Ovis aries: one gene and its partners. The protein of the gene in region 2 interacts with the protein of the main gene of each other region in a pairwise test. Links are inferred from orthologs where the notes say so. Each region holds a gene or a part of one and is shown on either strand. Other genes may lie near its edges. The genes, in order: ERBB2, HDAC6 and ERBB4.

What was found.
Region 1: the proteins of HDAC6 (region 2) and ERBB2 interact in a protein complementation assay, tested with the Homo sapiens proteins (2 studies listed by BioGRID and IntAct, with this or other methods). The link is inferred for Ovis aries from reciprocal best matches to the Homo sapiens genes HDAC6 and ERBB2.
Region 3: the proteins of HDAC6 (region 2) and ERBB4 interact in a protein complementation assay, tested with the Homo sapiens proteins (2 studies listed by BioGRID and IntAct, with this or other methods). The link is inferred for Ovis aries from reciprocal best matches to the Homo sapiens genes HDAC6 and ERBB4.

What each region holds. Positions count from the first base shown.
Region 1 is NC_056064.1:39,833,365-39,842,887, reverse strand, and holds the end of ERBB2 (receptor tyrosine-protein kinase erbB-2), read right to left. Parts: intron 9,050-9,523; coding exon 9,023-9,049; intron 8,611-9,022; coding exon 8,563-8,610; intron 6,989-8,562; coding exon 6,850-6,988; intron 6,768-6,849; coding exon 6,645-6,767; intron 6,355-6,644; coding exon 6,256-6,354; intron 5,995-6,255; coding exon 5,809-5,994; intron 5,691-5,808; coding exon 5,535-5,690; intron 5,443-5,534; coding exon 5,367-5,442; intron 5,061-5,366; coding exon 4,914-5,060; intron 4,587-4,913; coding exon 4,489-4,586; intron 4,291-4,488; coding exon 4,102-4,290; intron 3,821-4,101; coding exon 3,568-3,820; intron 3,439-3,567; coding exon 3,083-3,438; 3' UTR 2,554-3,082; downstream 1-2,553. Other genes in the region: MIEN1 (migration and invasion enhancer 1), read left to right, coding at 644-732, 837-934, 1,373-1,449, 1,537-1,620. UniProt on the Homo sapiens protein: Protein tyrosine kinase that is part of several cell surface receptor complexes, but that apparently needs a coreceptor for ligand binding. Essential component of a neuregulin-receptor complex, although neuregulins do not interact with it alone.
Region 2 is NC_056080.1:56,242,871-56,252,393, forward strand, and holds part of HDAC6 (histone deacetylase 6), read right to left. Parts: intron 6,655-9,523; coding exon 6,528-6,654; intron 6,432-6,527; coding exon 6,366-6,431; intron 6,274-6,365; coding exon 6,214-6,273; intron 6,135-6,213; coding exon 6,045-6,134; intron 5,722-6,044; coding exon 5,615-5,721; intron 5,526-5,614; coding exon 5,458-5,525; intron 5,199-5,457; coding exon 5,027-5,198; intron 4,938-5,026; coding exon 4,809-4,937; intron 4,651-4,808; coding exon 4,482-4,650; intron 4,156-4,481; coding exon 4,022-4,155; intron 3,503-4,021; coding exon 3,434-3,502; intron 3,324-3,433; coding exon 3,131-3,323; intron 1,691-3,130; coding exon 1,541-1,690; intron 102-1,540; coding exon 1-101.
Region 3 is NC_056055.1:214,422,000-214,432,104, forward strand, and holds the start of ERBB4 (receptor tyrosine-protein kinase erbB-4), read right to left. Parts: upstream 5,240-10,105; 5' UTR 4,488-5,239; coding exon 4,406-4,487; intron 1-4,405. UniProt on the Homo sapiens protein: Tyrosine-protein kinase that plays an essential role as cell surface receptor for neuregulins and EGF family members and regulates development of the heart, the central nervous system and the mammary gland, gene transcription, cell proliferation, differentiation, migration and apoptosis.

The DNA of each region.
Region 1 (9,523 bases), on a different chromosome or scaffold from region 2:
ATGCTAGAGTGGGTGACCTGAGAGGATCCTTTGGTGGGGGCCCAGGGAAAGAAGAGGCAAGGAGACAGTCTCCGTTTCTAGAGCTGCAAAACGGGAATAAAAAAGCCAGCTCGGTGGCGGGGTAGGATGAGATGGGGAGGTGGAGGAACTGGGTGCACGGGACGGCCGCACAAAGCCTGCGGAATAGAAGCCTTAAAGCCTAAAGGTTTCTGAAGGCATGAGACACACGGAAACTACCCAGGCTGTGCCTGCAGTTTAGCGTTTAAGAGTAAGAAGTACCTGAGTGTGTAACTGTGGAATGCTTTAGAATGCCATCAGCAAGACAGGAGAAACGGCAACTATTCTATATCATCCGTCAACCCCGGGCCCTCTGCAGTCTAAGATATGTCATTAGATTAAATAAGACCGTGAAGTCCAGCGGACACTAGATGTGGGGCAAGACCGGCGCTCCGAGAACTCGGGCCCGGAAAGGTGGTCTAGGCCGATCGGCCCAGCCCAAGCTCTCTAGCTGGTAGGTAACACGGTCAGAACGCAGTAGCAGCCGCCTGCAGGGGCGACCCGACGTCACGCGCGGCCCCGCCCCATCACGTGCCCGCGGCGTCGCGTCACACCCGGAAGCAGCGGCTGTAGGGAGCTGGCAGCAATGAGCGGGGATACGGGGACGACGGCCGTAGCGCCCCCTCCCGGGGAGACCGAACCGGGCCATGGGGTCCGCATTGTGGTTGAGTACTGGTGAGCGGCCCCTGCCAGTGACGGGGATCCGGGCCGGACGAGGGTGGGTCCACCGGAGGTACCTTTTCCGAAACCCAACCGGACCTCCGGTATCTTCTCCCTAGCGAACCCTGCGGCTTCGAAGCGACCTACCTGGAGCTGGCGAGTGCCGTGAAGGAGCAGTATCCAGGCATCGAGATCGAGTCGCGCCTGGGGGGCACAGGTGAGGCTGCGGAACACCTGCTGAGTCAGTGTTCTAAATCCCAGCTCCATCACTTTCTAGCTCTGGCATTGGCTGCTTTATAGTGTCCCCAGTACCTGGCAAGTAGTAAAATGTCCAGCCCGCTTGAGTCCCCTTCCATAGGTGAGGGGAGTCACATTTGAAGCCTACTGGGAGAAACGGGTGAGACCGAAGTGTTGGAGGGAAGGGAAACTTCCATTGAGTTACCAGGTGTTCAAAGGAAGGGCACACGGGTGATGCCTCCCTTCAGTTTCATTGGCTTGACCCTAGGCTAGGAAATGGCTTGAAGAATCTCTAATGTAGCTGAGGGAGCTTGTATGAAGTCTAAGGAGTGTGGAAGACCCCCTTTTGTAGAACTTCCCGCCTTTTGCCTGTGCTCAGCATACAGTTCATTCATACAGTTCATTCATTTAATACTAGGGGCCTTTGAGATTGAAATCAATGGACAGCTGGTGTTCTCCAAGCTGGAGAATGGGGGCTTTCCTTATGAGAAAGATGTGAGTACTTGCAATACCGGGAATAACCCTAGTTCAGCTTGCCCCTCCAAGGGACACATCATCCCATTCCACATCTCTGCCCTCTAGCTCATTGAGGCTATCCGAAGAGCCAGTAACGGAGAACCCCTCGAAAAGATCACCAACAGCCGCCCTCCTTGTGTTATCCTGTGACTGGATGTGATTCTCGGTTCCTGCTCTCTTCTGGGATCCAAGCCTTGGTTGCCCCACTTTGATCCTGCTGAGGGCTCCCCACTGCCTGTCTCACCTCACTGAGCTCCTGGCAGCTAAGAGACCCTGGCCTCCACTTTGCCCCTTTGGTGGGCACCAGGAGGGAGGAGATGGTTCTGTGGTCTTAGGGGTGGAAGAGATGCTCTCCATGGACATTTCCACAGCCACCTTACACCCCTTCCCTAAGATCAGTGCCCACAAAAACCTGCTCCCCTCTCCAGCTTAGCCATACCTGTCAGATGTTACCATAGTTCTAATTTATTTTCCACTGGCCCCAGGCAATGTCAGCTATTGGCAATAAAGTGGCACTGCAAACTCCTGTGCCCACTAGTGTGTGTCTTATGTCCAGTTTGGGACTGTGGGGAGGGAGGAAAGGGGGACAGAGGCCAGCCCAACCTTTATGCCACCAACATGACTGTGCTGGCTGGGTGGGTGGTTTTTTTCTGGATTTGTTTAGTCACTAAGTCATGTCTGACTCTTTGCGACCCCATGGACTGCACGATTCCCTGTCCCTAGCTACTCTTAATTCAGTGATTTCCTTGCCAAGGCAAGAAAAATGAGTCAACAGTGCATCTTGTTTCCTCTGTCCTTCCCTGACTCCCCCTACCTACAGAGAGGAAATTACCCCATTCTGGTGGGTGGGTGGCCTTAGGAGTTCTTTTTTTTCCTAAGAATGATCTTTTCAAAGAGCTCTCAGATCAGAATCCCAATTCCCAGTTTCCCCGCAACCCAAGAGCCAGAAAACTGGAAGTAGGCTCCTAATTCAAGTTTTCCCAAGATTCCTAGCCAGTCCCTCCAGGAAAGATGAACTGAATGTAAGTTAGGAGGTGAGCAGTAAAGGGACAGCTCCAAGCCACCCCTAGACATAGGCTGGTGTCCAGCTGTTTTCCAAAATATATTTGCAAATGGAGAAAGTGAGTGTGGAGGACATCCCTCCCCCAACCCCAGGGATGCCCCTGCTCCAATACCCACTCTCCACCAAGTCCTTATTTCATTTTTAAAAAAACAAATAAACAAAAAAACATAAGTAAAAACAAAACCAAAAAAGTCTGTACAAAGACTGGATCTGGGTGCTGCTGCTGCTCCCTCCTTCCCAGGGACAGAGCTGGGTCTCAGGGACAGTCTCTGAATGGGTTGCTGTAGTTCCTAGACACCCCCTTGGGGCCTTCTTCGCACTCGGCCCAGCCTCCCTAAGTCGTTCAGTGCCAAGGGTCTGGAAGAAGTCAGGCTGGGCCGCTCTCAGCCACCTAGGAGTTGAAGTAGGAAAGGAGATTTCTGGCATGGCAGGCTCCCCTGGACGTGATCCAAGGGCCTGCTCCCTGCCTGGTGCCGACGTGGGCCAGAAGTCAGGCCTTCCACATGCCCTGAGGGTTCAGCAGGGCCTCAGTGGCCCTGGCCTTTTGGCTCATACTGGCATGTCCAGGCCCAGGTACTCAGGGTTCTCTGCCGTAGGGGTCCCTTCAAAGGAGCTGGATGGAGTGCCCCGCTCTGATGGGTCCTGGTCCCAGTAGTAGAGGTTGTCAAAGGCTGGGCTGAAGGCTGGAGAAGGGTGGGACTGAGGGGCGGCCCTGCCCCGGGGTGCCAAGTACTCGGGGTTCTCCACGGCAGCCCCAAAGGCAAAAACGTCTTTGACAACCCCATTCTTCCCAGGGGAGAGCGTCTTGGGCCTTTCCAGAGTGGAACCTGCAGGTCGAGGAGGCGGCAGAGGACCCTCTAGGGGTGACGGGGGCTGTGGGCGAACCTCTGGCTGGTTCACGTATTCTGAAAGGACAGGAGAAGGAATCGTAAGAGGGTGAAATCTGTGTGTCCCAGCTGCTACAACTGCCCTGCAGCAGGCCCTGGGCAGAGCACCCCCAATCCCCACCTCTCAGCTCAAGCCTGACTTCATACCGGGCTGGGGGCTGCAGGTCGAGGGGGCAACGTAGCCATCAGCCTCGGGAGAAAGGGGTACTGTGGGGTCCTCGCTGTACCGCTGTAGAGGGCTAGAGTCGTGTTGGGGGAGGGACTGCAGCCCCTTGGCCGCCCCCATTCCCAAGTCGCCATCAAACACATCAGAGCCTGCCCCTTCGGAAGGTGCCAGCGGAGATCTGGGGGGCTCCTCCTCAGAGGGCTCCAGCCCCAGTGTCAGCTCACCACCACCACTCTGAGGACAAGAGAAGGTCAAAAGGGAGGTCATTCATGGATCTGAGATGGAGGTTCCATGGGAAGTGACAGAGTCCCAGGAGATAAATCATCTCTGATGTATGACAGAGGCATGGTAGAAAGAATGGGATCACGGTTGGAAAGCAGTAAGAATCCTTCTTAGGGAAAATGGGGCCTCCTTCATGAGAGGTAACAGCTGGAGGACATCGGAGGAAGGAACCCTGGTCCGCTGGAGTCGGGAGGTAACCAACGACACCCACCCCATGCGATGGGAGCACTAACCCTGGTGGATGTGCTGCGGTGCCTGCGGTGGGCCGTGCCTCCAGCTCCTGGGGCAGGGTCTGGGCAGAAGAAGCCCTGCTGGGGTACCAGGTACTCCTCCGCATCCACCAGGTCTCCCATGTCGTCATCCTCCAGCAGCGAGCGGTAGAAGGTGCTATCCAGGGGGCTAGCAGGGCCCAAGTCTTCATTCTGGGGAGGAGGGAGACGCATGGCAGCCTCTCCCCAGCCCAGTACGCAGCCTCCTAGGGGTGGCTCAGGGAGGGCTAGAAGTCTGATGAGTCAGGCAGGAGCTTGGAAGCCTGGGACCCAGGAATCATTCTTCCTTTCCTCCCTTCTAAGGGAGAGTGCTCTTAGCCATAGGCAGGGATGGGGTGAAAGGTTCAGTACCTGGATGACCACAAAGCGCTGGGGGTCCCTGGCCATGCGGGAGAATTCAGTCACTAACTCCCGGAACCTCGGCCGACATTCAGAGTCAATCATCCAACCTGGGGGTGGGCAAGAGCCTGGCATCTCAGTTCTGGCTGCAGCCTGCATGCAGCGCCCCTCACCCTCACGCCCAGTCTAGACAACACTAGAGTCCAAAGCCCTCTGATGATGGAGAATCTACCAGTTTCTCCTTTTTACTTTGGATCAGTCTTTTTTCCTAGCTGGCCCTCGCTAGCTCCTCTGGACTGGTACTGTAAAAGGGCAGGGAGAGCCTTCTGAGACCCATTAACCTTATCACCATGCTCTTGGCCCATGCCCCTTGTAGGCCCATCCGCCCAGGACCACCCACCCCTCCTCCAAGCAGCCAACACAGCTCAAGAACGTACATTTGACCATGATCATGTAGACATCAATGGTGCAGATGGGGGGCTGGGGCAGCCGTTCTCCCTTCTCCAGCAGGTCAGGAATCTCCCGGGCTGGGATCCCATCATAAGGTTTGGCCCCAAAAGTCATCAGCTCCCACACAGTCACACCTGGGGCATAGATGGGGTGGGAGGACCAGAGGCAGCTTTAGTGTACGGAGCCTCAGAGGCTCTGCCGAAGAGCCTGGCACCATGGGGGAAGGAGGAAAGATGCAATGCCAAAGGACAGGAGATAACTTGGTCTTTTCCCAGTCCCTGGGAAGCACACACACTCTGGCAGCCTGAGGCACTGGCAGCCACTTCCTTCCTTCTCACATTTATACCAAAGGTGTCTATCAGTTCACCCCATCCTTCCACCCACATTCTCCCCAGGGCCATGGCTCCTTGTCCACCCTCCCTACCCACTCCATCACACACCATAGCTCCACACGTCACTCTGGTGGGTGAACCGCCGGCGGAGAATGGACTCCAATGCCATCCACTTGATGGGCACCTGGTAGAGCAGAGAAGGAAGTCCTCCAACCAGGTCTGAGTTCTCCCAGGGGCCAGACCCCACTCCCCCTTGTTTCGGTTTGCTCCTCTAACCTTGCCCCCATCTGCGTGGTACTCTGTCTCGTCAATGTCTAGCAGTCGCGCTAGCCCGAAGTCTGTAATCTTCACATGGTTGGGACTCTTGACCAGCACGTTCCGGGCAGCCAGGTCCCTATGCACGAGCCGCACATCCTCCAAGTAGCTCATCCCCTGGGGTCAGAGGCATCAGTGTGGACCTCGCTCTGCCAAAACTCTCCCAGGAAACCTCCCTATCCAGAGGCTTGCTCCCCAAGGGCACCTGCAGAGCCCTGGCCCCCAAAGTGCATACCTTGGCAATCTGCACACACCAGTTCAGCAGGTCCTGGGAGCCCAGGCGCCCACGGTGTTCTCGGACGTGGTCGAGGAGGCAGCCATAGGGCATAAGCTGTGTCACCAGCTGCACTGTGGATGTCAGGCAGATGCCCAGGAGGCGGGACACATATGGGGAGCCTACACCAGCCATCACATATGCTTCCTGGAAACAAGGGCACACACTGAGAGGGTATGGGAAACCACTAACCCCCAACCACCACACACCCCTCCCAAGGGCTAAGCCATGATAACGGGCCCTCCGCCAACCCAATCCCATTCATCACAAATCGGAACCATGGCCCACAGACTAGGGAGGGTAAGAGTAGACATTTGGGGGAATCACAGGGTGTCCCCCAAAACCCCAGTGAAGAGAGAGAGAGCCCAGTCCCCCATACCCCCAGCTGGACAGGGTGGAAGGGCTTACGTCCAAGATTTCCTTGTTGGCTTTGGGAGATGTGTTTTCCCTCAACACCTTGATGGCCACGGGGATTTTCACATTTTCCCCATCGGGGATCCAGATGCCCTGGGCAGAGAGGAGGATGTGAGCAAAAGGACCGGCCAGATCAACCTGCAGCCGTCCTACTTGGGGTCACTGCTTGTGCTCCCAATTCCCTCCCCAACCCTTGGGCCAATCCCATTATTTAGCAGCAGCCTCACCATTTAGACCCACTGGCCACTCCCAATCCCCTATCCTTAAGTGCCTACTCAACTGCACCACCCGCGGTTCCTGGCTGTTGTCCCAGCACACCCTCCGCCACACCCTGCAGCATCCTCTAGGACCGCCCACCCGGGGACTTTGGCCCCACCCCTGACCTTGTAGACGGTGCCAAAAGCTCCAGATCCTAGCACCTTCACTTTCCTCAGCTCTGTCTCTTTTAAGATCCGCATCTGAGCCTGATTGGGCATCGCTCCGCTGGGCGTCAGGGGCTCCACCAGCTGGGGTGAGGGGGTAGTGGGTCAGTGCTGCAGGTTGGGCCGCAGACCCCAGAGCTCGAGAGAGACCCTCAGGTCGCCTCACCTCCGTCTCCTGCAGCAGCCGCCGCATTGTATACTTCCGGATCTTCTGCCGCCTTCGCTTAATGAGGATGCCGAACACCAGCCCCACAAGGACAACCAGCAGAACGCCCACCACAGCGGCAATGATGGATGTCACAGGGCTGGGGGCAGGAGCCAGGATCATGGATTGGGGACCAGTCTGGGGCAGGGGGGATGAAGGGGTCCCACGGTGGGGCGCGGTGGGGTGGGGGGAGGAGGGAGAGGGGGCTGACTGTCACTGGCATTTGGAAAGGGAAGTCAGAAGGGTGACCCACAGGCTCCCATCCTGTCTGACCTACTCTAAAATCCATCTTGGCTCCTTACTGTCTGGGAAATAAAGTCCAGACTCCTTGCTAAGATTCAAAACCCTCTACACCTACATCTCCAAGTTGTCTATGCTCTTGCCCATGGCTCTAGCCCAGGGTTCTTGTCAACCTGTGAGAGTACGGAGCTCCACCCTCCAGAGACTTTGACTGTGGTATGAGGTGGGGCCCAGGAAGGTGCACACAGAGATTCTGATGTTCTAGCCAGAATTTTCACCCATAGGTCACGATTTCCAAATCTCCCAGCCGTTGTTATAATACTTCTGCCTGGATCACCATTTCTGCATGAGGTCATCTTTCAAGACTCTGCTTATCCTAGGATAGAAGGATCTCCTGGGCACTGACCCTACATCCTTGTCATCCTTGTTCCCCTCCCTTGCTTAGCCAAGGGCTGGCTTATCACAGACCTCAAATGGACCCTTATGTCATGGACAAATGCTTACTCAGGACACACTCCGATCTTTTTCTCCCTAAAACCCTTCCCAAAACACCCCTCTGCCTAGAAATCAAGTCCAGCGATGGTAGTGATGGACATCACAGGGCCTGTGGCCTCATGGTAGGGGAGAGCCTATGCCCTCCAGATCCGGCCCTGAACTGACTCAGACTTCACCCCCTACTCCTTCCTCTGTGCTTAGTCAGTTACCCACCACAGCAGAATCTTCAGCAAATACATCCTAGACTTTCTGGACACCTCTTACCATGCTGCCTGGTTGCTTTCCTAATACAAGTGACATTTCGCGCCCCTCTTTCAAAACCTAGCTCATGTGCCTGAAGCCTCCCACTGACCCCAGGGAAGTATTCACTGTCTCTCCCTCAGTGCTGCAGCCATGCTCTCTTCTCAACGTGCCTCGAGTCCCAGGGAGTTGAAGGCTGCCTGTGTCCCTTATGAGACCCCCAGCTATACAGGGAGGGTGGGGAGGTGCTGGGTGTCTTCCTACCCCCTGACCCCCAAGCAAGCCGAGCAGGCCTTCCACCCACTGCATGTGTGTGTGCATATGTGCTGAGCCTCCCAGTTGTGTCCACCTCTCTGCAACCCCGTTGAGTGTAGCCAGCCAGGCCTCTCTGTCCATGGGATTTCCGAGGCAAGAATACTGGAGTAGGTCGTTATTTCTTACTCCAGGGGATGTTCGCAGCCCAGAGATTGAACCCCAGTCTCTTGTGTCTCCTGCACTAGCAGGCCAATTGACCCCTGCACCACCTGGGAAGCCCCTCCATCCCCTAGTTGAAGCTAACTGAAAGAAGCATCCACAGTGGAAGAGTGGGCTGGGGAGGACACGTGTCATGTCAGGACATGACACCTAGCAGCAGGGACCACCCAGGGGTCAGTGGGGAACTGAGGGCAATGTGGGGTGCATTCTGGGGACCAGGCTGACCTGGCTCTCTGCTCGGCGGGACAGCCCTTGTCATCCAAGTCCACACAGCTGCAGGAGAGAGAGAGTCCCGTCAACAAGGCTGGGAACCACCTCCTGCACTCACTCCAGCCTCACAGGATCCCAGGAGGTGGGTGTGACTGGGTTAGGATCCCCACTTGACAAAGGCAGAAACTGGGTTCGAGGTCACCAGGGCTCTTTCTACCATCCCACGGGGGAGTCCTCCAGTCTGTAAACCCATATCATTTGCACCTCCCTGTGGTGGGAAGGAAGTGGTGGCACCCAAAGGAGCATCGGGTTCAAGAGCTTAGCCATCTCCTCTGTAGAGGAAGCCAGCGTAAACTACTACTGTAGTCGGGCAAACTCCCGCAGTTCCTCCTGTCCTCCCAGCGGTTCCACCTCTGGGGATAAACCCTGAAAATGCCAACACCTGTACACTAGGGGGCATGTACAAGATGCTCACTTGTACGTGGAGCTCAAGTGCAATAAACTGCCAAAAAGAGAAAAAAGGAAACAAGTTCAGTCAGTACTCTCAGGCAGGGACACAACTAAATAACTCTACATCCATACTGCAGATTGAGTAGTTAAAAAAAAAAGGAGTTAGATTGATATGCATTCACAGGAAAGGACCTCCAAGATACATAAAGGGGGGAAGGTGTGGGGGAGCAAAGTGTATATGAGTCAAATAAATTGCTGAGAAATAGATGAGCTAGATGAAACTGTTGTTTCTTGATCATTTTTGACTTCTAAAAACAGCAATCTTATATGACTCAACGTAACATATACGTAAAATGCACTTATGTAAATATGTGCAGAAAAGCCTGGAGGAATGCACATTCCAGAGTGACCTGGTAGTTCTCTCCAGGGAGGGGAGGGGCAGTGGGAGAAAGGGCACTTCTGCTTTACACTGTTTACTTTGATACTGCTAAAAATATGTCTTACAAGAATGTATGCACGTGTTCCA
Region 2 (9,523 bases):
AGTGGGGGCCGCAGCCGGGTCAGCAGGGGCAGTGGATCCCCAAGGAGGGAACGAGTGCAGGCAGCCATGGACTCTGAGATGGACGTCAGGTTATAGCCACCCTTTGTTAAGGAAAAGAGGAGGGAAAGGTATGATGGGGTAGTCCTCAGGGAATTCAGGAGACACAATGTCTTGCCTCCCAATCTCCCCTTGGGGCCCTGAAAGTCTGGAGGGTGGGTACTGGGGACAAGTAAGTAGAACCCACATGTGTCAGATGAGTAGCACCTACTGTGTGAGATGGTTGTGAGGGTGATAAACTTGTGATGTAATGTGTAAGATAATATTAACCACAACCACAACAGCACTGATGGCAACAATAGTAAGAACTAATGTTCATCAAGTGCTTGCTATGTGCTAGACCCTAGGTTTTTTTGGCCAAGCCTTGCAGCATGTGGGATCTTAGTTCCCTAACCAGGGATCAAACCCCTTCCCTGCAGTGGAAGCACAGAGTCTTAACCACTGGACCACCAGGGAAGTCCTAGACCCTATTCTAAGCACTGAATCCTCACAGTCACATGGACCGAACTAGTGCAGGAACCTGCATCCACAGTAATGGGAACCCCTGGCCCCACCCACCCAGAAGCCCCTGCCCTGCCCTGGTATAGGAACAACTGATCTTTCTCTCTACATGAACCTCTGTCCTGATCTGGCAAGGGATCCCCTGTTTCTCACACTCTATAGGAACCCCAGTCTCTGCTCTTTTTCCTGATAAAGAAACTTTGGCTCAGAGTGATTAGATGACTTGTCGGAGATCCTAACAGATGGTAAGAAGTAGCACTGAGGTTGAAACCTGGGCTACCTGAGCAGAGAGTCCACCACTCCGCCCTGCCACAAGCAGGCCTGAGCACATGGTGGGACATCTTACTAGTCAATTAATCTTTCTGTGACTTTTTGTCCTCATCTGTAAAGGAGCAATAATAACAGCACAGAAGGTTGCTGAGAGAGTAAAACTAACATATGAACAATGTGTAACAATAAGCTACAGCTCTTGTACAAGGCTTATGACATTCCAGGCACCCCTCCACGATTAGCCAGCCACACCTTACAGACAAGGATACTGAGGTACAAGGGTCAGGGGCACTGAGTAATTTACAAAAGGTCAGTGAACTTCCTTTGTCCTGGGATTTTGTTGGATACAGCTCAAGCAGAGGTAAAAAGCACAGACTTTGGCGCCAGGCTTCTTGGGTCCAAGCCTGCCTCTGCCATTATTAAATGTGTGATCTCTGGCTAGTCACTACAGCTCTCTGTATTTCAGCTTCCCTGATCTTGAGAGAGGAAAATGGTAAGGTCAGCAGACCTTACCTCCCAAGACTGCTTTAAGTAAATGCATTAGTTACGCATGTTAAGTACTGAGGGAAGTGTCCTGCACATAGTGAGTACTCAATTAAAGCTGCTCATGCTGGTGTTATTAATGCACAGTGTATGCCCACAATCCCAGGTGGGGACACCCAAGCCTTCCCGACCATCCTCCGACCATGGGAAGAGGGACTAAGAGAGTTACCTCTAGGATTAGGATGATATGGCCATTGGCCAAGCCCATCAGCAGGTGGGTGAGGTGGGCATAGCCCTCAGGCGACACCTGGCAGCCACCCAGAGGATCCCCCCGAGCAGCGTCGAAGCCAGCTGAGACCAGCACCAGTTCTGGGTTAAACTGAGGCAGAGAGAGAAGAGACACACTGAGCATGAAGGAGGGGGCAGGGGGACTTAGTAGCTCAGGGAGACCCAGAGACATGGAGACAAGGACAAATGAAAACAGGGTGATGCAAGTCAGAGGGATTGAGACATGGGACCTGGAGCCCAGGAGACACAAGCCCAGAGCCCTGAAAATAGGGAGGGCAGGACGTGGAGACACAAGAGAGACTTGGAGACATGGACACATCAGACACAGATTTTGAGACACAAGATAGAGAGATGCAGATGTGAGAAATGCATGGATGGGGACATGAAGCAGAATTGTAAGCTGTGGAGACTCATGTCAAGAGACAGTGACATGAAACAGAGAGATTATGTTCTCACAATATACACCCAAGGCTGAGACCAAGAGGCAAACACTCCCCTCCCTGGATCAAACATGGGACACATGTGCACAACACAGGGTTTTATACACAGTGCTAAAGAGAGGTACACACATGCTTCCATCATAGAAGATTACAACAAAAGTGCCACACACAGAAGACGGTCACACACAGCCACACACAATCAAACAGTCTCATACAGACTGGACTATTCATGGTATTAGTCACACATACACACACACACATAATTTCTCAGAGGGAACAGTAATCCACAGCTACTCCTGCACCAACACAATTATACACGTCACCACCAAAAGCAAAACAGTCATACATGCTGTTGCACCCACAGGAAATGGACACTTGCACAGTCACACACATACTATTTCAGAGTTACACAAACACAGATGGTAGTCACAGCCACTGTGCACAGACATACATACACATCTGAGCATGCATGTCTGCACAGAGGTCACAAAAATGGCACTCACATTCATCAACCCTCAGAGTAAATCATGCATACATGATTTGCCACGGACATACATGGTTTATACATGGAGAAGAGTTACCTATAGCTACTTAGTGTCAGGCAAATATATATTAATATATAGGCCATAGCAGACAGTTGGAGAGATGACTGTCAGAGAGAGAGCTGTGCACAATATCACAGCCATCACACAGAGCAATGGTAGTGACAAATAGCTACCCGTAGAGTCTCACACATACTCGAACCCCTCAACACCGTGCAGTTCCATAAAGATGGCAGTCACATGGGGCCACCATCACACACAGACCAGCACTAGTGATGGTGTACACATGGGACATGTTCACAACCAGCCATAATTGCAGGCAAGATTACTCTCACACACCCAGAAGTCCTCACAGTTACACACAGAGGGCAGTCACAGACAGATACTGCACAGACATACCCAAAGGCCATCACACAGTCACATCCCCTCACCCAAAGCCATCACTACTGTCACCCACAGGCCCTCTCACAGGATCAGTCACCTGTAAGTTAGACACATGCACACTCACTACCACATACAGAGTCTCATCACGTGCACCCCGAATCATACCTCATAAGCAATGGGAAGCACCAGACGGTGCCAGGCAGCCAGGTAGTCAGCATCACCCATGCGGGGCCCATTCCAGGCCACATTGACAGTGAATCCTGTGCCTGTAGCTTTACCTATCCGGGTACAGGCACCCTCATTCCCCATGGGAAAGAAGGTACCATGATCATAGCGGTGCAGGGAAATGTACAGCACACTGTGGGGACAGGGTGGGAAGGGGGGACAACAGCTGGTTAGCAAGGTGCCCCTGAGGCATGGCCTGCCCATCTCCCTGACCACACTCCAGCCCCTGCCCCAGCCCCTCACCTGGGGTCCTCCTCAAATATGTGCTGAGTTCCATTACCATGATGGATGTCCCAGTCCACGATCAGGATCCTGAGGAGGGGACAGCACCTTAGTTACCTGGCAACACTGGTTCCCTGGGGGAGGGCAGGGGCTACATCCCTGGAGTCTGTGTGCCGGGACATTTACTGCGGGTGGCAGGACCCTGAGTCCCTGGGGAAAGCGCTGGGTGGCAGGCTTGTGGGTCCTATCAGAGTCCTAAGGGCTTCACAGTGGGCCAGAGCAGGTGCTCAGGGCCAGATCCTAGGCCCCATGTGGATAAGTGCCATGGGCCTTTTGAAGTAAGCACCAGAAGCCAGCCCCTGGGTTCTGTTAGGATAGTCATCAAGGGCCAGAAATTCTGGGGCAGGGGACCTTGGATTCTGTTTGATAAGCACCTGCATGCCACAATCTGGGGATCCCATTTGGGTCAGGCCCCAGAAGCTAGATCCTCCTTGGTCCTTTTCTGGAAGTGCTGGGCAACTGGACCCTGGGGTGGTCCTGGGTAACTTTGGGGGCTGCATTACAGGGCCTGCTGAGTAAGCACTGGGCAGTGGGGGCAGGGAGCCTTACCGCAGTGCATGCCCACTGATGGCCTGGGCATGGCGAGCAGCCACAGCCACAGAATTAAAAAAACAGAAACCACAAGCTGCATCCGGCTCTGCATGGTGGCCAGGAGGTCGCACTACAGCAATGCCATTCAAAACCTGGGGGAGGGGCAGGAAGCAAAGATTAGACCACCCACCCTCACCGCTTTCCCTCCCCTTCCCTGTCTCTTGTGCCCCTACTACTCCACCAGCTGCTAAGGCCTCCTCCCCACAGCCCTGTAGGCCCCATCCCCCTGGGTGCACTTCCCTGTGAGTAAGGCCTCTGGCGAGCTGGGGCTGTAGTCCCCTTCCATTGCGGACTGCTCTCCAAGTCCCCTTTCCTCAGGCCTGGCCCAACTCTCAGAGCTGCCTCTTTCTTGCCCGCCCCCCCCCTCCCAGGACTTCCTTGCCAGGAGCCCAAGGTCCCCTCCCCAAAGCACAGGCACCTCTCCTGCCAGTACTGCCTCCACCAGGCGACAGGCGGCGCCTGCAGCCAGCTGTGCGCAGGCAAAAGTGCTGGAGCAGATGTAGATGGAGTCATAGTTGGCACCCTCACGGCGCAGCTCCCGGGTCTTCATCTTCTCCGTGGCCCGCAGACGTTCCAAGTGCTCAGCACTGGAGGTACAGAGGGGGCACTTGAGAAGACAGCCAGGTAATTCTGTCCCCTCCACATCCTTCCCCACCCCATGTCTTGTAACAGCTCCATGTATCAGAGAGGCAAGCCCAGGCTCCATGCTCTGAGGCCCATCCTACCCTGGCCACATGGGTCTGACCTGTGGCAGGTGAGCAGCTCAGCATCTGTAGCAGGCCTTGCGGGCAGGGAGTGGCAGCGCTTGGCAAGGCCCAGTTCGTCCAGGTGATGCATGATACAGTGGATGCGCTGGGGCATCTCAGGGTGGTAGCTAGGAGTGAGGGAACAGAGGCAGGGCTTACTACTGAAAGCGGGGGTCCCTCCCCACTTCCCACTTAGCCTGGTTCTCTGACTGCTTACTTATCCCACAAGTTGTAGTGCTCCATCATCCGCTGGTCATAGACCAACCCCGTGCGAGCCTGTAGCACCGGCCATATCGGAATGGAGAGCTCAGAGGACTGTGGCAGTTTCTCTTCCTCCTTCTCTTCCACATCATCCTTCTCCACAGTGTCCTTTTCTTCCAGGCTCTCAACTGCAAGGGGAGGCCACATTCACCCTACTCCCTTATGCCGCCCCCAACCTAGATCCCTGTAATACTCTGGAACGAGGTTTACCCAAACCTAAAAAGGGGTGGGAGGCCTGAAATCAGGGCCCAGTAAGAGAGAGGGCATGATTCTCCCCTCCCCCCAGCAAGGTGGCTTCCGGAAGGTCAGAGTGGGGTCTGAAGAGAAACTCCTCCCACAGCTCATTCCTTACCCAACCCCTGACCCAACATACTCCCTGACACCTACCTGATCTCACAAGGCTCTCCCAGAAGGGTTCCAGGGCTTCTAGAGCACAGGAGAGTGACACCTGGGCACTGGAGGTCAAGTGAGGGAGAAATGTGACCAACCAGCTCCTGAATGAGCAGTGAGGGGCCTGCTTCTCCCCTCCTCCACCTGGGCTTACCTCGGGCAGGGGGCACCAGGAGACTCTAACATAGGACAAGGGTCACCCAGAAGGGTGTGGAGGGAGGCGCTGACACCTTCAGCCAGAGAGCGGAGATTATAGCCACCCTGGGAGAAGGAATTCATGTGAGGGTGGGCAGGAAAGAGCCAGATGTTATCAGAGAAGAGTATGAATGACACTGGGGTGGTGCTGGCTGCATGCCAAGGCATTTGAAGGGTGATTTCATTTGCTGAGCAAATAGTCTGAGGTGGTTACAACTATTATGATACACCTCTGACATAAGGGAAGCAGAGGCCTAGGGAAGTTGAGGGACGTAGGTGAGGTTGTCCAGCTAGTAAGTGGAAATGCTGGGACAGGAACTTCTGCCAGATTTGAATGTTGTTCTTCTGTCTTCCAGGATCCAAGGGCTGAAGTGGAATGAGTCACTCACCTCCAGTGAGAGGATCAGCTTGCCTTCTGCCAGACCCATGAGCAGATGGGTGAGCTGGGCGAACCCTGCTGGAGTGGCGGCCATCTCACCCTGGGGGGGACACGGAGGGTCAGCCTGGCTCCACAGGGCCTCCTTCTGCCCTCCCGCCATCCCCAAGTACCTGCCTTACCTTGGGGTCCCCTTGGAGGGCATCAAATCCAGCGGCTACCAGGACCAGCTGGGGCTGGAACTGAAGGAGGGAGGAATCACATGAGGCCACCTGCTATCATGGCCCATCCTTCAACATCACCTCTGCCCCAGCACACCCCAGAGCCCCAGGACCTCAAATGCAACTGGCAGGAGGACGTGAAGGAAAGCGGCGATGTAGTCAGCATCTTGCATCCCCACCTGCAGACAGGGAGGTATAATGGGGACGTGCTGCCATCTGCTCTGAAGGGCAGAAGTGGGTCTCACTTTGGGGGTGAAGGGTATGCAGACACTGACCTGGTTCCAAGGCACGTTGATGGTGTATCCCTGGCCTTGGCCTAAACCTGTGGTGGACCAATTAGAGGCCTTAAGATGGGGCCAGAACCGACCTTGCTCATAGCGGTGGATGGAGAAATAGAGGACACTGGAGGCAGAGAAAAAAAAAGAGGTGGGGGGTTCAGTCAGTATTCCCCAGAAACCTCCAACCCACAGCTACCACAGTTGACTTAACCACTCATTCATTCTCTCAATAATTTCCCCATGAATTTTTAAATTCATATATTCATTCTTCCATTCAGTTGCCAAATTATTCATCCTCCCATTCATTAATTCTTCCATTTATCCATTACCTCACTTACTCATTCATTTGGTCTCTTACTGAAATTCCTCCCACAGCAAACACTGCTGCCCCTTTCAGTGCCCATACAGTTCTACCTCTGAGACCCCAGGAGCTATCAGGTCTATTCCACCCCTAAGGGCTCCTGATCCCATTGGGAACTCTAGATCATGCCTGCTTACCTACCTGCCTCTGTTACCACGGTAGTGAACACAGAACACTGTGACACTGAAGGCCCATAGGGGCATGTGGCTCTTAGTGGGAGCCAGGTAAGGCTGAAAAGAATGCCAGGCAAGGCTAGGGAGCTTAGTATTTTCACTGAAGGAAGTGGGGAGACTCAGGAGCTATGTGGGGCTAGAGTGAGGATGCTGGCTGGGGCTCCATGAGGCCAGTGAGGGGGCAATTCCTTCTCTCCAATACCTTACAGGCCACCTCTATCACTTCTGTTTTCTAGAGAAACTGAGCACTCAGAGCAGTGAGGAAGACTGACACAGAACAGATACTGAAAAGTCACAATGGTATATGTTCTGATAGTAAGCCCAGTAGGAGGGCTTGATTTTGACTGAGGCAATCAAAATGAATATCTCTCATCCATCCTTCTATCCATCTGTTCATTCACTTCCTGCCTTGTTCCAGAAAGGATTTAAGGCAGCATTTTTTTTTTTCTATTTTAGGAAAAGGCAAGAAATAGTGGTAAGCAATGAATCTAGGCAAACTTAACAGTCACATTTTAATAAATGTTGATACTGTAGTTGTGAAATTAAATGCAAACTGGTACAAAAGGATTTCTGAAATCGAAGAAAACTATCTTGGAATTAGGGGATGAAGTCCATGCGAAAACTCTGGTCTTTGAGCAGATGAGGGGGTGATTGTTTCACTTTTGACTCTGATAGATAAATATATAGTAGAACATAAAGATTATCATCAGGGAAAGAAAGGAATAAAGAAAAGATCTGAAGAAAGTCCAAGTTTATAAAACAAACAGAAGGAGATAAAATAAATTCAACTGGGAATTCCCTAATGGCCCAGTGGTTAGGACTCTGTGCTTTCATTGCCAAGGGTCTGGGTTCCATCCCTGATCAGGGAACTAAGATCCCACAAGCTGATGCATGGCCAAAAATAAGTAAATAAATAAAATAAGTTCAATCAACTTCCAGTAAAAGAATGGTAGATTAATAGCACAGGTTTACCTCCTCACTCCCCTACAATCCTATCAAAAGATAGTAAAGATATTTTAAACAAGAATCAACGCAGGAAAACAGAGTGGGAGAAAGGACGTCAGACAATTAGCGACTTCAACAAATCCCTGGAAAGTTGTCTGAGGGTCCAGGGCCCCAGTGAGCCCTCTCCCATACTGAACATGTTGGGAGGATACCCAAGACAGTTTTGAAGTTTCCCTTCTGGAGAAGTCAAGCACAAATCTAGGTCAATGCACTCAAAGTCAATTCTGTCACTGAATGACAAACTCACTAAATTTATTTTTTCCTTTTAAGTTTTAGTTTATTAATGGAATTCTTGTTAATTTTCTTAGGCATGATAATAAGATTTCCTTAATATGATTAGTCATTCTTTTTAATAAATGCCTTGGAGGCAACAGCTGTATTCTTCTGTGGATATATGACTGACTATATGTATAGGTATGAAGAACTATGAATATATTCTTCCTTATGAATAAGAATGTATAAATGAAAAATAAATCTATCCATGACCTTCAATCATCCAGCTTCCTTATCTCTGTCTCTTAACTCCATCAGGAGGATAGTTCTTAAAACACTGTTATGAAGACAAAGAAAATAAGTAAACTAAAGCTTAGAGCATAGACACAGAGAGCAAGAAAGTGTTCTTGGAAATTAAAAGAATTCATAAACACACAATTCAACAGAAGGACTGTTGAATTAGAAGGTGAAGTTGAGTAAATCTCCCAGGACACAGAGCAAAAGGAAAAAGAGACAGAAGATATGAGATAAAAAATAAGAGATACAGAGGATCAACCCAGAAGTCTAACATCTGACTAACAAGAGAGACCAGAGAGGACACAGTAGAAGAAATCATCAACAATCTAACAGAAAACTTCTGAGGATTTAAGAAAGGTGTGAATATTCTGACGTAAAAATGTCTACCACTGGTAAGTAGAATCAGTGGTGAAGTGAAAATTTAGGGCACCAGGAAGAACCTAAAACCATCCAGAAAGGAAAATATATTGGAAAGGAATGAAATCAGACTGATATCTGAACATGTGTCGGCAACACTGAATGATGGAAAATAAACAAAGCAATGTCTGGAGAACCACCAACCTAGATTAGATAAAGTGCTACAGGAGCGCAAGAGCCCTTTTACAAGGAAGAAAGTAGAATTTATGCAGTCAATTCAATAAAAGCCCAGATAAAACATCCTACAGATGTGCTCAGAGAAGCATAAAATTATTTATTTACCAGACTATTCACTGTAGAATTGTTCGTAATAGCAAAGACTGGGAAGCACTATAAATGTCCTAGGATTAAATGACCAAAGTTACAGCCATACCATGGAACATGGTAGAGCCTTACAAAGAATGAGATGCTTTTCAGAGGTACTAACATGGAGAGGTGCCCACACCATACTGTTAAAAACAAAAAAGCAAGTTGCCGAAGAAAATGTAGTGGTAGTATATTAATAATAGTAATGATAATGATGAATA
Region 3 (10,105 bases), on a different chromosome or scaffold from region 2:
TGGATTGAAGTAATACAAAAAATGACACCACTTTAAAACACAGCAATGTTTAAGGTGCACTAAGTCATTTTCTAAAATGTGTGCCTTACATAGTCATTAATCTCAAGGTGGCTCTAATCACCGGGCTTCAGAGAATATTCAGATACAGCACATTGCCTTGCATCCCTAGCATTTTTGAAGCGGCAGTAGTCTAACTTCTATGGTCAAGAGGGGGAAAAGAGGGAGAGAGAAGGGAAAAAAGGGACTTCTCTGTAGAAAAATTTGGCCTTGGAGTCAGGGTTTTTGAGATGTGCTAGTGAGCTCGGATCGATGCCTTTTTATTTTCTTTCAAGAATAAATCTGAGCAATGGAATGGCTTGCGATTGTCCAGCCAACCAGCCATATCAGATTTATCAGAAAGAAAGAATGAAAACTGGCTCAGAGGACTCCTGCAGTGGCTGAGTAGCAGGTTGCTGGGAAAGACATGCACAAAAAGAATACCCTTAGTGATGATGGGGAAAATATATATTCATATGTGTAAACTCAATAAATAATAAGATGTAAAAAAAGAACCTATAGCAATGGAAAGGGTGAATGCATAAGACAGATGATAAATAGCACTTCTATTTAAGAACCAAAGGGATGAAAGCTCATGAATACTAAATATTTGAATCTACTTTAAGAAGAAAATATGGTTTTTCCTGAAATGAATGCAAACTCTAAAAATCAGTCAATGCAAACTTAAGTGTGTTCAGGCTAGAACAAAAAATACATAAATCTTCCATGAAGTGCATGCCCTGGTAAATATTCTAATGCAATTTCTTAATTAAGACACATATTCAGTGACTAAATGAAAATTATACATATAAAGGAGCAAGTACCTTGATTTCAAAAAATTTGACTTTCTATGCATGTATGAAAAAAATAAAAGGAGTTTGGTTTAAGGAAAAAATAATCAGAAATCAAAGAATCATGACACAATTTTACCATCCAATTTTACCATATCAGTCCACATTATAGTATTTTCAAGTGATTTGCAGTCACAATAAAAGGTATACATTTATTTGGAAGCATCTTGAAGAAAAAAAAATACCTTACTTTAAAAAGGCTCCTTTTACATATATATGAATTTCAAAAATTGAAAGAAAAGAAAAAGCAGAAACTGTACTCATGGGTGTGTTTACAATAAATACATGCAGGGAGAGAACTGATTTTTTTTAATTATATTGAACATCTTTTCATCATTTAACTAAGTTTTATTCACCTTTTTCTTCTCAAATGTTTAAAAATTTGATTCTGGAGATATATCTCAAGGATGGAGGAAAAATACATGCTCTTTTATAGAATGAAAAGCAGGACTAAGTTACTTGCAAATAAAAAATAGGGGCTGAACTTGTTCATCACATATCTATTAAGGTACGTAAGACCACCACCTCAGTACCACTACACATATATACATATATATTTCAACACAAAGGTGATACTGATCATTTTTCCATCATGGCGGGAAGACTGAAATTTTGGAATTCTTTTTAGAGATAAAGGTTTTATAACAGCCAAATAAAGGGCTCTTGGCTATAATATTTTTCGATAAAATAAATCACTCGAAATGAGACGAAGTCTTTCAGAATACTAAAAAACAAAACAAACAAAAAATCTTCTCTAACGCTGATTTTTCCCCCCCAAGGAAGAGAAAAATAAGAACATGCCCTCTTCAGATACAACTATTTTATATCTTAGATCTACACAACAGAACCCTGCTCATCTCGTATTTTTATTCTGTTCACATAGAGCAGTAAATAAGGTGCATTCCTTCTGCTTCTTAAGAAATTAGCATTTCAAAAATATGCCACTTTCCCCCGAACTCCAAGCGTGTCTAATAATGCGAGAAGCAGATTGTCTTCCCTCGTTTCCTTAATTTGTTTCATCTAAAAGCAATTCACTCAACATCTTGTCGCCCTCTGGCAGCTTAGTTTACTTATCCGCACTTAATTTCTCATTTGGACCAAAACAAACTCCTCCAAACTGCTACTGACGGCTAACCGCGAGAGGGGAGACACGCAATATGTATTTACTTGGGAACATACAGCCATACATCCACAGCCACAAACACACAGAGCCTCACTCATACCCTAGAATGTAACTTGGTTTTATAAAAGCACCACATTAAAACCAGCCAAACTTTTCCTGTCAGGTGCGGCAGGGTGGGGGTGGGGAAGACTGGGGGGAGGGGGGGGGGAAGGTGTCCTGGAGGCATTTACAGTTTCCAGTGGATCACCTTAGCCTGCGTGTTAAAATTATACCAGGGAGGCAACCGGGAGCTTTTCTTTGTGCGGCCCTTTCATCTAGATCACTTTGTGTTTGGAACAAGTGAGGCTCGCCTTTGTGCCCCCAGAATTTCAAGTACAGAGTCACACTCGGAACAACAATGGCACGCTAATCCTCGCGCTCTAACTGGGCTCACTTGTGTGGGTCTGACAATTCACGGGGGGAAAGCGAGAAGAGACCAGCGAGGGTGCGAGTCGGTGTCGCCAGAGACGAGGAAGAGGACAGCTGCAGAACTAATTTGGATTACATTCCTTGCAGAAATTCTGAAAAGGGCTTTTCGGCATAGCTCAAGCCCGAGCCGCACAGTTAATACCCAATCGCTGCGGACTCGCAGCCGGGTCCCCCAGCGGCAGAGATTGCACCAGACAGCCCCCCAGTAGGTCGCCCGGTGGAAATTCCTCTCGGCTAAGCCTGCGTGTCAGTCGCAACTGCTTCTGAATGGTTCAATGTGCATAATCAACCCATTGAGGGGAAATATGAAGGGACGCGGAGTGGGGAGGGAGATAAAAAGGGATGTATCTAAGAGGCCGCTTGGAATCTCAAGTCGGTGTTGGTGTAATTCCGGAGGTGGCTGGAGCCCGGGACCTGGTATGCATGAAGAATTTCGGAGTAATTGGGAGGGTGCAAACGGCCAGAACAAACGGCGCACATTGTGCCATTCGAAGGTCATTTTGAAAGGCTCGAGGATTGTAACTTGTTATTTACTAGGCGAGGGGGGAGCGGGGGGAGGCGGCGGCGGCGGGGGCGGAGCGGGAAAACTCCAGCGCGCTGTTTTCTTGGTGAGGTCAGAAGGACACGCTCCGAGGGCCTGAAACTCTCCCTCTCGCCACTCCCCGGGGGCTTTATCTTCTCAAGGTGCCTCCCACGCCCTCGCGACCAGCCCCGTATGGTTCCGGACATCTCCCCGGCTCTCCAAAAGGCCCCCCTTGGCCACGTCAGTCCCCGGTTTTCCTGGCCCTTTCTTTCCTGTCCCACTTTCATCCTCAGGAAACTCAAGTGTCAGAAACTTTGAGCTCCCTGGGCCCGCAGGGGCTGTCATCCACCCTGCGGGCCCCGCCGCGCCTCCTCCCCGGGGGTCAGTTCGCCTCCTGCCCCGCGGGGTCCCGGGGCGCGAGCTCCCCGGGCAGCAGTGGTAGCGCACCCAGTGCCGCAGCACCCGCCTTGGGTTCTATCAATTCGCCTGACGGGTTGGCTCGGCAGCCGCGCCCGGCAGTAAACAGAAGTTGGAGGGACTCCGGCCAATAGCAAGTTGAACTACAGGAAGAACTCTTCCTGAAGCCAAACACAGAAACCGACGGGAAGGCCGGGCTCCCGGCTTAAGTCAGTCAGGCCATTAAAAAAAAAAAAAAAAAAAAAAGGTCAAGCAAGCCAGCCAGCCCCCCTTAGTCCGCGGGGCGAGGGCTGGGGACGCCAGCGGAGGCCTTGCGTTCCCGGGCCCCCCGGCCGAGGCGTGTCCTCCCGCCGTGCTCCAGCTCCCAGGCTGGGCTCGAGTCGGGTCTGACCCCGCAGGCTCGGACGGCCAGGGACGCAGCGGCCGCGGGCAGCGCACACAGGTGCAAAGCCGGCTCTCGGAGCTCCTCTCCCCACTGCCCTCCCGCTCCCCGGAGCCCAGCTGCCACGGCCCCGGGATCCCAATCCTGCCTCGGAGCCCCGGCAGGGCAACGCTTCTCCGAGGCTTCTTCCCTCGCGGGCGGGGGCGGGGGGTAGGCAGACGCTGCAAGGAGCGTCTCCTCTGACTCCGGCTTTGGGTCTCCCACGTCCCGCACAACAGGCGCTACCAGAAGGGATCCGGCTTAGAGAGGCTCGAAGAAAACGCGCGAGAAATAAACAAGGGGAGAGAGAAAGAAAAGGGACGGAGAAAGGGGCGCAGAGTGGTTTTTCACGAGAAACACATGCCCACGCAGAGGGTAAGTTTGGGATAGAAAGAGGGGCGAACGAAAAACACAAGGAAGAGGCGCGGGTGACGTGGTCCCTCCACGCCCGAGAGCGAGAGGGTCTCTGGTTGGGCTAAGGGCGCAGGGGGCGAGGAGCCACCCGGCGCCGCTCGGCCGGCAGCAGCAGGTTCAACCCTGGGAGCGCGAGAAGGACCGCGACCCACCTGACTGAGAAGAGCTGGGCTGGACGGTCCCCGCCGCCACGAGAAGGCTCACCCAGACCCACAGTCCTGTCGCCAGCTTCATTTTTTGGAAGTCTCAGATCCAGTGCTGACAATTACATGTCCAAATGGCATAATCCCCTTTCGGGCACGCGGAGGAGATCCCTCGGCCGGGCGCGCGTGGGGGCTCGAGGGGCACTGGCGCGCGCGGTGCACCAGCTCCGAGCGCGGGCGACCGAGTCCGCGTCCGCGGGTCTAGGGCCCGGACCCGGAGGACCGGGAGAGGGTGCGCGGGAGGGCGCGCGCGGGTGGGAGTGTACTGGAGGGTGTGCGGCGGCGCTCCGGGCCGGACCGGGCAGCTACGTCCCCGTGTGAGCCTCCGTTTTCTCGCTCCCTCCTCACTTTCTCGCTCTCTCTCCCTGGTTGGCCAACAATAAAAAGAAAGGGTTCGGAAGAGGGTTTCCAAAAAAAAAAAAAGTTGATTGCAAACAGGCGGTAGGTTTCCGGCCTCTCCCCCCAGCCCGACTCTGTTCGACTCCCTTTTCAGTTTCCTTGCACCTCCAGTCCAAATTGGGAGGAAAGGGGCGGGAGGGGGAAGCTTCTCGCTTCACCCCCAATCCTGTCCTTTTTTTTTTTTTTTTGCTGTCAGCTTTCTTCACACTTGTCCGGCGGCTGCGGTAATTAAAGCTCCGAGCGTCATTTCCAACGCTCCGCGGTCTCCAGCTGCAGCCCCACCGAGAAATTAATAAGACTCCGTCCGGGAGGAAAAAAAAAAAGGTTGGGGGCGAGCGGGCGGTGGGTAAAACAACCCTCCACGCAGCCAGGCTGGCTCTGCTCAGCCGCGCAAACCCCGCCCCCGCTCTGACCCAACTAGCCACGCCTTCCCCCCCAAAGGGAAATCTTATTGGTTCAGCCACTCCCCAAAATCGTGGGCCTCAGGAGTTGGGAAAACACCTGTCAGGGAGCTGGGAGCCTAGCGGTGGGGGCGGGGGGAGCTGAATTTAAAGGGCTCACCGGAGGCCACAAACTGAATCAGAGACCACCCCCCCCCACCCCCAGACACACGGCGGACAGCTGGCCCGGAAAGCGTGGAGACCACCTGAGAGATGCTTTACAAAAAAGATTTTTTTTTTAGCCAGAAAGTCACCATTTACTCCACACTCCACGGTGCTCATCCACAGACTGGACCTGCCCTAGAAACAGAAGAAAAGAATACGCTGCTTCAATTGTATTAGGCTACCTCGCTTCCTACTTCCTCGTGCTTCACATTCAGACAGTAGTTCAAAAGCTGGTTCAGTAATTGTTAACATCTGCGGAGTAGGTAGTCCTGGGAACCTAAGCACTCCTCTTTCTTCAGTCTGTATAACTAACTATACAACCTCTCCCATCATTCCCACGCTCGCAAATTGATCAAACTAGACTTTCACTTTTGTAGAGCTGCATCCTTAGATTTTTTAGACTTTATGGGGTCACTTCATCTTTTCCTTGGACTCTAGAACAACTTGGTTTTAGGTTCATTCTCATTAAGCCGATTCTAGTCCAAAGCCACCAATTTGGTTCTAAATGGCTAGAAATTGATGCAGGGCTGAGCTGATCAGTCTGAAATAACTTAAGGCAAATGATAGGATATAACCAACCTTAAATAATTAGGTTTATCCTACAGTGGGTCCTGCTTTAGTCCTCTTCCATGTTCATACGACCTCCAGAAGTCATTGCTAGCCATAGGAGTTTCTGAACTCTTCTTAGTCTGAAACATATGGGATTGGATTATATCAGTGCACATATCCCTTGCTTTTTACAACTCTGAAACTGTACCCAGGACAAAGGCCAGAACCTCCTGAGGGCAGGGGATTATTGGTTTGCTATTTGCACAGGCGTTCTATGAATGATTTTCCCTTTTCAGCTTCTCTAGAAGCAGCAACTACATAAAAGTATCAGGGGAGCTTAAAAATTAAGTCACCCTGCCTCCTCGCTCATCATTTGAGACCTTCCTATTCCTCCCCCACGTCTTTTATCTATAGTTGTGTCCCTTAAGAATTTGCGTGGAGTTGGAACAGAGTGAAACAGCAGCTTCTTCCCAGAGGCCTCAGCCTTCCCTTTCTTAGGTCCACAGCAAGTAAGAGGAACAGAGAGGAGGCCAAACAAGCTGAGCATGCAGCTTTATCCAGAAGTAGCACAGGGCCAGGAGAAACTAAGCCTTGAGCAGGTGATGGTGACTTGGCCAGTGGTACTGACTGCAGCAGAAGTGTTCACACTGCTCTTTGGGATTATCTTTGCTGTTTTTCTCACCGTCTTCCCTTTTTCTTTTCTTTCATTCAATCTCTTTCCACTCCCCTTTCCCCCAATCCCCTGGTATTTCTTAGGATGACTCTCAAACACCTCTCTTCCATGAAAACTACTTCTTTTAAAAATTTCCACCTCTCCCCAGAAATGCAACTTAAGTGATTTTTTTTAAGTATTGCTTTTAGAAAAACTTAAATTTATGTATTGAAAAAGTCTTCTTTCTGACAACAATTACTTTGAAAGAAATGAAGAAATAAATAGTGTATTTTAGCTTAAATTGAGGGAAAAATTAAATACTCTGGATTTTTTTTTTCTACTTGAGTCCATTGTAATAATTTTTACTCTCCATCAATTTGATAGTTCTGTTGGGGCAGGAACTCTCCTATATACTTTGGTTTCAATCATGTATCTAAAGTAATTCTTGGTAAAAGAGGTATTTCAGTTAATATTCATTGGTTTTAAAAAATTGGTCTTACATATATTTTGGATGGTAGACAAACTATACAAGATACCCACCAATTACATTAGACTTGACACACCTGTGATTGGCCTTTAATCCTCAAGTTGTTCAGGCTTAATCCCATTTTCCTGGTTCTAACCTACTGATTGATACCTGGCCAAAGTTGTGTATCTGACCACTAGCCTATGGAATGAATTTGCATGAAAGCCCTACTCAAAAAGAGCATCATATTCAACGGTGACTGGTCTATCCTGAGTCGACCTCTTTCTTTCACTTCATTTCCTCCATTAGTGGTAGAATTCAAGGAGAATTTTGACATCATGAGTGGCAGAATACTACTGGTAGGAGAAAGAAACACACTGATCTCAGAGTTCACTGTATTTGGGACAAATACCAAGTAAGAAAAAGAACAAGAACCTATCATGAATCATTAGTCTTCTCCTGAACATTTAGAAATAAATACAGAATTCTAATTTCCCTCCCTGGCCAGCATCATCTCACTCAATATGTTTCTAAGTTATCTGGTGATCATAAACAACTCACTTCACAGACCTGAGCCCTTGGCCTCATCGTTAAAGAAAGGGATGGTTATGTCCCAAATCTAAGACTATGAATCTATGATTTACTGATCACTCACTAAGTACAAGTCACAATTTCCACAGATTTCATTTACTTCTTATATTCTTTCCCTTTTATCCACTCACTCCTACATACTACTTCATCTGGGGCACCAACACAGCCACATATTAAACGGCCTTAGGAAAATATCCAAATAACCTTCACAATATTACTGTGAGCTACTCAAAACTCTGGATCTTTTCTATTCGAATAGCCAAGAAATTCTGGTAGATACAAATACCAATCAAGTTCAGTATTATGATAATCAATCAGATGACGGATACAGTGTTTTTGCCTCTGGTTGGCTGCTTTTTATTAACTAGCACTTGGAATAACATCGTTGCTCTTAACCCAAGAGTTTTGAAATTCTCTAATACTTTGGTGATGTTCAATGTCTCAAAGCATAAAAACAAAATTTAAAATTTCAAACATTAAAAAAATTCATAAATATACATTAAAGAAATGTTTTTGTTACTTTAGTTAATTTAATATTCAAAGAGGACTTCCCGGGAATATTTTGGGTTTGGTTAATGTTTTCGTTTATGTGCATGATTAAGCCTTAATTAATGACACCACCCTTATGGCAGAAAGTGAAGAGGACCTGAAGATCCTCTTAATGAAAATGAAAGAAGAGAGTGAAAAAAAATTGCCTTAAAACTCAACATTCAAAAAACTAAGATCATGGCATCAGTCCCATCACCTCATGGCAAACAGAGGGGGAAACAATGGAAACAGTGACAGACTTTATTTTCTTGGGCTCCAAAATCACTGCAGATGGTGACTTCAGCCATGAAATTAAAAGACACTTGCTTCTTGGAAGAAAAGCTATGACCAACCTACATGGCATATTAAAAAGCAGACACGTTACTTTGTTGACAAAGGTCCGTCTAGCCAAAGCTTTGATTTTTCCAGTAGTCATGTATGGATGTGAGAGTTGGACCATAAAGAAAGCTGAATGAGGAAGAATTGATGCTTTTGAACTGAGGTGTTGGAGAAGACTCTTGAGAGTCCGTTGGACTGCAAAGAGATCCAACCAGTCAATCCTAAAGAAATCAGCCCTGTATATCCATTGGAAGGACTGATGCAGAAGCTGAAACTCCAATCCTTTGGCCACCCGATGGGAGGAACTGACTTATTGGATAAGACACTTATGCTGGGAAAGATTGAAGGTGGGAGGAGAAGGGGACGACAGAGGGTAAGATGGTGGATGGCATCACCAACTCAATGGACATGAGTTTGAGCAAGCTCTGGGAGCTGGTGATGGACAGGGAAGACTGGCGTGCTGCAGTCCATGGGGTTGCAAAGAGTCAGTCACGACTGAACAACTGAACTGAAGCTGTAATTTTTCAAGTGCTAAGGAGGAGTGACTGAATGTAAATAAATCATATCTGTGTTGCTTTCATATCCATTCATCAGTGTCTGTCCAAGTCCTTACAGACATTTTTTGTTTGTGGTTGAAACTGCAAAATAATTTCAACCTGGTGGACAGAGTAGTCTTTGCAAAGAAGTTATGCAAAAATGATCTCCCTGGTAAGGCCTTTTCCTGTTGTGTTTCTTCTGCTTTATGTATTTTCTTCATCTAAGTCCTTTGCCCCACACAGCTTTTTCTACTGCCGTATAACTTTAAAAAACAAAGCAAACCTTTAATAACTTTTGCCAATTGAAATCTAAGAGGAAAAGGGATAGTTCTGTTTTTGCATGTCCATTTATTTATAAATTTATTAACTTAGGTTACTTATCAAGGCTATGACTCTACCTAGCCTGAAATCTGAATCAAGATAAAGTCTGTTATTTTTTCAGGTAGCTTCTTATGCTGCATTTCCTTCCTTCTGTATTCTTAACTTAGCAAAGAGCTTGATCATGTTTAGGTTAAAGAAGATTTCTCAAAAGAATCTAATGTTACATTTGCCATACACACACAAATGGATATTATTCTGACCAAGATCACAAAGAGTTCTTAGAATTTTTCTTGAACACCTGCCAAATAGTCAACTGAAGTCATAATTTAGAAACCATGTATTTTCTTCTCAGGTTTGTATAGGGATGCATGAATCTTCAAAGCTTCAGCAAAAAGGTTCTACTAGTTTAGAAAGTGTGCTAAGCTTATAGAGGCTTCTTCTCTCAACACAATAATACCCTGTACCTCCTTGCCTGATCAGTTACCTCTCAGTATGTCCAGTTTCCATTTCCTTTTTTTAATTCTTTAATTCTCTTGGTACTCTACCCTTTCCCAGTCTCTCCTTACCTCTGAAAATCTGTTAGGAGGCCCAAGACATCTGGTAGTTTCTCTTCTTGGTCCTGACTCCTAATGTATCATAATTTTCTACATTCCCAGGTTATTT